2 linked regions of the Arabidopsis thaliana genome follow. Each later gene encodes a partner of the first gene's protein in a complex. Each region holds a gene or a part of one and is shown on either strand. Other genes may lie near its edges. The genes, in order: GI and LKP2. A codon is read from its position in the direction of its gene.

Region 1 (3,924 bases):
TATTGTAACTGATTTGTTTGTTCGTAATACTTGACAAACTTTTTTGAATATACACCTTTACATATATTTTGAGTTGAGATAAAAAGGGAATTATGTTAGTTTATGGATTATATTATGTAAATACCACATCTAACTATGATCGGATGAAAACTAAACCAGCATATCTCTAATCAGTAATATTTACTAAATTTATATATCATTAAAGATTTTTTGAATTTAGCAAAAAAAGAAGAAGATATCATTAAAGATTTTTAAATTTAAAGTATAACATAATGAATAAATCAAGTGTTGAGCTTAGTTTCGCGTTGCAAAGATGTTCATTTGATTTTTTTTTTTTTTTTTCCATTTGATTTTTCTTATACTAAATTGATTGATGTCACGGTCCTTCTGTGAAAAAAGTATATTGTACTGTATAAATTTATAATAGTCATACTTGAAGATAACTAATATCATTTTCTAAAGGTTTTGTTGACAATGAAATGGGTAATGATGAACATCTCGTTTGCTAAACCACAAAAGAAATAATTCGTTGGACTATAACTTAAACTTATAATATATCAACTGAAATGCCTACAATTTGAGAATACGCCTTTTCAAAAAGTTTTAGAATTTTATAAAAATTTCTCCACCATAATATTACTTTAATAAAAGCTTGTTATTAAAATGATATATTAACAAAAAAAAAAGAGGTAGGCAAAGTAGCTTTTATTAAAATTAATGTTTTCCCTAATTGGTAAATCATAAACCAAAAAATTGAGGTAATTCTTAATATATTTACTATGATTAGAATGATACATTAATGTAACATTTTATCATCTTCATTAATAATAGTAAGTTCTCCTCAAAATTACAATTTGATATCAAAAAATATATTTGTATTACAAGCAATTACTGAAAAATTAAAATTACAATTTAGCCCAGTTACATAACTCCACGTAAGGTTTGAGCCCATCACATCACATGGTACATGACCAAAGCCCAGTTATGTTACCATGGAGTATTCTTCAGACAAGAGCCATCCAGACAGAAGTGGACCACACAATCACGAATCGTATGGAGATCATTACAATATATTGCTCACATCTTATTGCGCCACGTCTCTTATTTGGCGAGTGATCAACGTCCACAGATCTCTTGCTCCACTCTGATTGGTACACGTCATCATTTTATTGTGCTACTTGTTTATGTGGTACAGTAGAGACAAGTGGTAAGATTTTAAAATATCTTAAAAGATGTGTGAGGCCCATTTAGATATTTTCTCAACGGGCTGTTCCTCAAAAGCTGCCCGTTTATCTACAACCATCGAACGGCTCGAAACTATTCTGGGCTAGCTGCCCGAAATCTCTTAAAGGAATTTGTTGAGTGGGCTTGAATCAACGGTGGATAATTCGAAGGTGTACGTAACATCTCGTAGCATCTGAACTTAGCTCCCCTCAAAATATCTGTGGACATATGTCACTAGCTTTTTTTTTGTGTAATGAAACTATTAATTAATTAGGCAATCACATGAGAGATGTTATATACTTAAATTAATAACTCAATAATACAATCATGACCACCAAACCTTGAAATAAAATAATCTCTCTGATTACTTGTACAAATTCTTTACCAATATATGCCATACTGTGAATGTAATGGTTTATTTTAAAACAGCCAAATATTATTGATATAATTATATGTTTAAGTAGATTTTAAACTTAGCTCATGGTTAAAAATAGACAGAATTTTGGAGTAAATCTGAGTTTACAAAATTTATTTATTAGGATTAAAATTAATTACTTAAATTGGCAAACATTTTTCTTGGTGATTGTAACATACAATATACGAATTTGAATTCGCATTGTGATTCCAAAACAACACTAACATAAACTACCAGTAAAATTTTTTAAAATAAAATTTCATATATATATGCTTAAAAAATGTAACAAAAATATGGTAAATTTTTTAACCATGGTATGGGTGGAGATGTATGTGGGATGATGATGGTTATATGGTAATGGCGCATAAAGGTGGTGGCAAAGGCAAGGAAATATCGATGACACGTAAGCAGACGGGAAATCTTAAACCGAGTGGAGAAGCCTCCAAATCTCTTTTTTCTCTCTCTCTCTCCTAAGGCCACCACAATCTCTTCTTCTGTGTATGTATTCTTTTTTTCTCCGATATTCGTCGATCTCTCAAAAATATCCTCAAAGCCAAAAAAAAGCAAGAGTAGAGATAACCAACCAACAAACTCATAGGAAGACATATTTACTTTCAGGTCTTTCTTCTACTACCTTTTTCGTGGTTTTTGGTTGATTGATTCTCAGATGAGATTTTTTCCCGAATCATTTGATGTCTTTTTTTTTTAAATAAGTTCTTGGTAAATCACTGTTTCTACTAGCATTTTTTGTTTTCTCAGCTTAGATTTGTTGTTTGATTTGACATCTTATCTGATTGAGATTTTGTTCTTCTGAATTGTTGTTACAGGGTTTAGCTGTTTGATTCAGCTTCGATTTAGTGTACAGTGTGTTGATTAGTATAAAAAGGATTTAAAAGAATCTGGGAGATGTGTATAGTGATTGTTCTTGCTGGCGAATGTTAACACTACGTCGTATTGATTCTCGATTGATAGTAGAAGAAAGGTGTTAGTTAGATTGTTCGTTCATCTAGTTGGGGTTTAGTTTCGGTTCCTGGATGGCTAGTTCATCTTCATCTGAGAGATGGATCGATGGTCTTCAGTTCTCTTCCTTGTTATGGCCTCCGCCACGAGATCCTCAACAACATAAGGATCAAGTCGTTGCTTATGTTGAATATTTTGGTCAATTTACATCAGAGCAATTCCCAGATGACATTGCTGAGGTACTTGATACCTAATGAGTTTAATAAGAGTATTCTCTTAGTAGTGACGTTTTGATTCATGTATAATTTATCTGTATCAGTTGGTCCGGCATCAGTATCCATCAACTGAGAAGCGACTTTTAGACGATGTGCTGGGTATGATCAACATTTATGATCCACACTTCTCTTTTTGTGTGTGAATGTCTATCTGATTTTCGTTTTCTGATGAAACAGCGATGTTTGTCCTTCATCATCCGGAGCATGGTCATGCAGTCATTCTTCCAATCATTTCATGTCTTATTGATGGCTCGTTGGTGTACAGCAAGGAAGCTCATCCGTTTGCCTCTTTCATATCTTTAGTTTGCCCAAGTAGTGAGGTATATAATAGCTGTCTAGTATCATGCTTACTGATTTGGTGTAACCTATACCATTTTGTGCTAACATGTTCACTATCCTAACAGAATGACTATTCGGAGCAATGGGCTTTGGCATGTGGAGAAATCCTTCGCATTTTGACTCATTACAACCGTCCCATTTATAAAACTGAGCAGCAAAATGGAGATACAGAGAGAAATTGTCTGAGCAAAGCTACAACTAGTGGTTCTCCGACTTCAGAGCCTAAGGCTGGATCACCAACACAGCATGAAAGGAAACCTTTAAGGCCTTTGTCTCCATGGATCAGTGATATACTACTTGCTGCTCCTCTTGGTATAAGAAGTGACTATTTCCGATGGTAAGTAGACTCTGTTACTGATGCTTCTATGTGTTCATGCGCCGGCCTCCTTCTTTTATTTTGGTCTCTCTGCTGAGGTCTATGTATTGAGGTTCTGTAGTGGATTAAGCTTACTGACAACTAAAAATGTTGCTTATTATTTACAGGTGTAGTGGTGTAATGGGTAAATATGCTGCTGGAGAGCTCAAGCCGCCAACCATTGGTGAGTTCAAGAATTCCATGTTAATATCCCCTGGAACTGGATTTTGATGATAATTCTGATCAATAGAGTTGTTCTATCACTTCGTTCATAAATGTGTATCCATCACCTGTGGCTATAGAATGTGTTTTGAGTTGCTTCCTATAACTTTCATGTTGTCCTACTTTGGCAGCTT
Region 2 (3,924 bases), on another chromosome or scaffold:
GGTATTGGAGGGGCCAATCCGGATACTTCCCTCCAGCTTGGTGGGTCTGCATCAAGGTCTAATAAGAACACATCATTGAGTAATCCGTGGCTCCCGTAACCTCCAAACACTACTAAACGGGAACCGTTGACACAAGAAAGTGTGTGACCCCAGCGACCCGGAGGAGGAGAGCTGACCAGAACAGATTTCCACTCGGGACTACTCGAGCCAAGGTCCAACACAAATGTATCATTCATCGGCTGCATATTCACACCTTCCCCGCCAAAGATAACAATCCTGTTCCCAACTGCACATGCGCTGAAATTACACCGAGAAGGCTCAACAGTACCTCCAACTGAAAACTTCCTCCATGCTGTTGCTTCGTGAGTGGTGAACTCTCGGGCCAGTCGCACCCAACCAATCCTTTTTGCACCGGGAACACTCTCAAGAACACGTGTTGCCTCGGTACCCCATGTGTTTTGACAGACCATTCTCCACACATCATCATTCTTTGTCAACTCATTGAGCCGCCTACATACACAACCAACCGATGCAATATCACCAGGAGTCAACTGTGACAATATCTTGATAGCTATTACTTCATCACTCAGTTCGAATATCCCACAGAGTCCACGAGAAACATTACGCTCTCCGATTGGTAAAGCAGAAGTAAATGAGCGAGATATTCTAGGAATTTCTTTTGCAGATAAATCAGGAGATGGGCCAAGATCAATTTTTGCATCTGTAAATAAGAGAACGCCTATGAAATGAGTGATTTCGTCTTCTTCACGGATAGGGACTAGACGCAGCTTGTTCATCAAGGGAGATCCATCTTTCCGAAAGTTGAGCAACTCGCCTTGAAACTCGATGCCATTTTCTAGACATTGTCGCATCTTCGCTACAATTGTAGAATCTACCATTGGATGCCTTCTTTTAGTAAATGGCCCTCTACATTGCAAGAAACGGCTGCCAAATAAAAAACAACAGCACAAATCAGATACAAGACCCTCCTATTCAATTCATCGAATAGATAACTAACAACTAAACAGATACAGTACTTTGGCGAACAATTCCTCACACACAAGTATTGAACAAAGACTAAACTATATGCATAATTAACATGGAATACCAGATCAAAAGCCGCTAAAACCCAAGAGAAACATATTCAACAGAAACATATATACTTAGACAAAAACGCATTACAATTCAATATTACAAAAATCAATAATCCCAAGGCTTTCATAAACCAATCAAGACATGTGAAAAACTATCAAAGTTCGAGTTCCTAAACACTAATCCACAGACATAGGAAACATTACAAACTGAACCTCACATTATAGCTTAGTTCCTCCACAACAAACTTCTAATTCAATAACCAACCCATGATTCCAAAATGGTTCTAGCTAATAATACCTAACATAATCAACAAGAACCATAATAATGAATCGAAATATAAATTTCTTTCTGTCAAAACAGCTTTCAACAAAGCTTTCTAGTAACATCGTACCAATACCACAAATGAGACAAAATTCGCTACAGTAAAACAAAATCAACACCACAAATTTAGGGTAAAAGTCAAGAAGAGCAAACTCACCAATTTCGACCAATAACTTCTTCAGCTCGATAACCAGTAACAATCTCAAAAACAGTGTTAACATAAATGATAGGGTTGTCAGGTTCAAGAGCATCGCTGACCACAAACCCACACGGCGCCGTGCCAGGAAGACTACCTACCGGAAACGGAATCGCTCCGTTATCTCCACCGAACCATCCATCCTCCGCCACTTCATCTCCACCGCTGAGATCGGAATCACTATCCCACTCCATTTGATTTTGCATACACACCCACAAAATAAAGCTTAAGCCCACTAATCTTCTTCCTCAGCAACAGGAGAAGAGACCCAGAAGAACAAAGTTTGATTTTGAATCGAGGAATCTGATATCTGTAGGTAATCGAAGTCTCCACAGGAAAAAAGTTCCAAACTTTAGACAAACCCAGAAATCGTCTTCTTCAGGAACAGGAGATAGAAGAACAGATTTTGAAATGGAATCGAGCGAAGAAAAGAGGAATCTGATATTTGTAGGTAATGGAAGTCTCCACCGCCCACTTCTAAGAGGAGGAGAAGAAGAAGAAGAGAGATGATTCGGTCGGTCGATGACTCGGCTCTTCTCAGTGCCTCTCCTTTTCCATCTTTAACCAGACCGGTTTCTTAATTTTACCTTACCGGTTTAGTTTATCTATCCGGTTTACACAAAATATCCTGTAAGTTTCTTATGAGATTTTTTTGGTTTTACCAAATGAGTGTATTAGAATCAGTTTTATTGATTTAAAAACATTAGAAACTTGAATTTATCATGAAACCATTGCATCCAAAACCCAATTCTTGCTCATCGAAACGTTCTCCGTCTTTGCTGAATCCAGTAATAGCTTCAAGCCAATCAATATTTTCCTCTTCTTCTAGAGCAACAAAAGCCGATGCATAGTTGGCTTGAGCAAGACATCGTACTGCAGCCCGCCAGAATGGTGTACGCTTCGGGACATCAAGACGTCTAAGAGCGTTAATAACATCTTGATACAAAAGTACAACACCCCGTCTTTCACGATACTCCGTAATAAAGTTTCCACTATTTTCGATCACGCTTTCAATGATAGACCTTCTTCGAGGTTGCCTTGCACGTCTAGAAGAAGTTTGTACACTGTTACGTGTTTGTGTTACGCCTTGGTTTTGGGTGGTGTCTGCCATATAATCTTGTGTGTTTAGAGGGTAGACATCATCTTCAACTATCCTAAAAGACGCTTTATGCAAATGGAAGAAGGCTTTTACTAAAGGTCAAACCACATTTTTCTGCGGTTTTGTCTTTGCTCTGCAAGTAAAGTTTTTATGTGAAACAAAAACTAATTATGTTGATGTTGATTATTTGTATAATGTTAATTGTTTTTTATTTTTTCGTGTAGGTATTTGCATTAGAGCGATTTACTATCTTTCAACAACTATTTCCATCCAGTTTTCCTTTAATGGTTGAGTGGGCAAAGATATATAAACCGTATACCAAAAATTGTGCCAACAGAAGTGGGGGACACTATCAAGAGATGCTTGTAGACATGAAGGAAGATGAGGTACCTAACAAAATTTCATCTCTTTGTCATATGCATTTGTTCTATATTAAATACTTAGATTATATTTTTTCAGATTAAGTGGCAGCCATATAGCAAAGTTATATTGCCCAAGGAATACACCTCTCAATTGAGTATGGTATTTGCACATGTTCCATGCATCTGCTTTAACACCATCGCATACAACCGAACTATTTGGGAGAGCCACTAAATAGTTTTCCGATTAGGAATGACGAGACCTTGGAGATGGGAGAGCCACCAAACAAGTGGAATGAAAGCAATAGATGGGTTGACCATTCACATGTCACTGAGGTGGTCGAGACTTTGCCGGAGAAAACCAGTAAATCGGCTGATGCAAATGTGAATTGTCTTTTTTTTTTTTTTCTAATACAAATGAATTTGGTTCTCACTTTACTTGATTTAACAGCTGGAGTCCTTGGATGAAAATCACAAGGAAGCGAATGAAGAGGAGGGAGCGAATGAAACGATGGGAGTGAATGAACAAGAGGGAGCGAATGAAACAGTTAGTCATTCTCAATAATACAAATGAATTTGGTTTTGTAACATATACTCTAGGATATTAGAAAACTAAATATTAATAACTGGCAGGAAAGAAGTGATCTTCGACTTCTTAAAAGAGGAAGAGACGAACTACTTAGAAGTGAAGGAAAATTAAAACCAACCGATAGATGTACTCCATCTTTTTCGCACCAGAAACATGCAGGGGAACAAGAAACAAAAATTCCGCTTGATAGCCTCGTTTCCTCCAAAATCGATAGGCCACGCTTGTTTCTTGATAGCCTCCAAAATCTATCATCTCCTCGATTTTG

Evidence for each region.
Region 2: the proteins of GI (region 1) and LKP2 are in contact, whole or in part, in a crystal structure (PDB 7WA4), measured with the Arabidopsis thaliana proteins. Residues at the interface, in NP_564180.1 of Arabidopsis thaliana: Met564, Arg568, Ala569, His572, Leu576, Glu577, Ser650, Tyr651, Leu653, Ala654, Ala655, Ala658, Leu659, Cys661, Glu662, Ser703, His707, Ser754, Lys755, Ala756; in NP_849983.1 of Arabidopsis thaliana: Cys45 (codon at 1,686), Phe47 (codon at 1,680), Val49 (codon at 1,674), Asp51 (codon at 1,668), Glu54 (codon at 1,659), Ile60 (codon at 1,641), Tyr61 (codon at 1,638), Val62 (codon at 1,635), Asn63 (codon at 1,632), Thr64 (codon at 1,629), Glu67 (codon at 1,620), Arg73 (codon at 1,602), Ala74 (codon at 1,599), Glu75 (codon at 1,596), Ile78 (codon at 1,587), Gly79 (codon at 1,584), Ile140 (codon at 773), Glu142 (codon at 767), His148 (codon at 749).

Annotation. Positions count from the first base shown.
Region 1 is NC_003070.9:8,059,725-8,063,648, forward strand, and holds the start of GI (gigantea protein (GI)), read left to right. Parts: upstream 1-2,026; 5' UTR 2,027-2,257; intron 2,258-2,466; 5' UTR 2,467-2,673; coding exon 2,674-2,838; intron 2,839-2,918; coding exon 2,919-2,973; intron 2,974-3,051; coding exon 3,052-3,194; intron 3,195-3,278; coding exon 3,279-3,550; intron 3,551-3,696; coding exon 3,697-3,752; intron 3,753-3,921; coding exon 3,922-3,924. UniProt on the Arabidopsis thaliana protein: Involved in regulation of circadian rhythm and photoperiodic flowering. May play a role in maintenance of circadian amplitude and period length. Is involved in phytochrome B signaling. Stabilizes ADO3 and the circadian photoreceptor ADO1/ZTL.
Region 2 is NC_003071.7:8,195,438-8,199,361, forward strand, and holds the start of LKP2 (LOV KELCH protein 2), read right to left. Parts: upstream 2,047-3,924; 5' UTR 1,819-2,046; coding exon 1,574-1,818; intron 946-1,573; coding exon 1-945. Other genes in the region: AT2G18920 (uncharacterized protein), read right to left, coding at 2,316-2,723.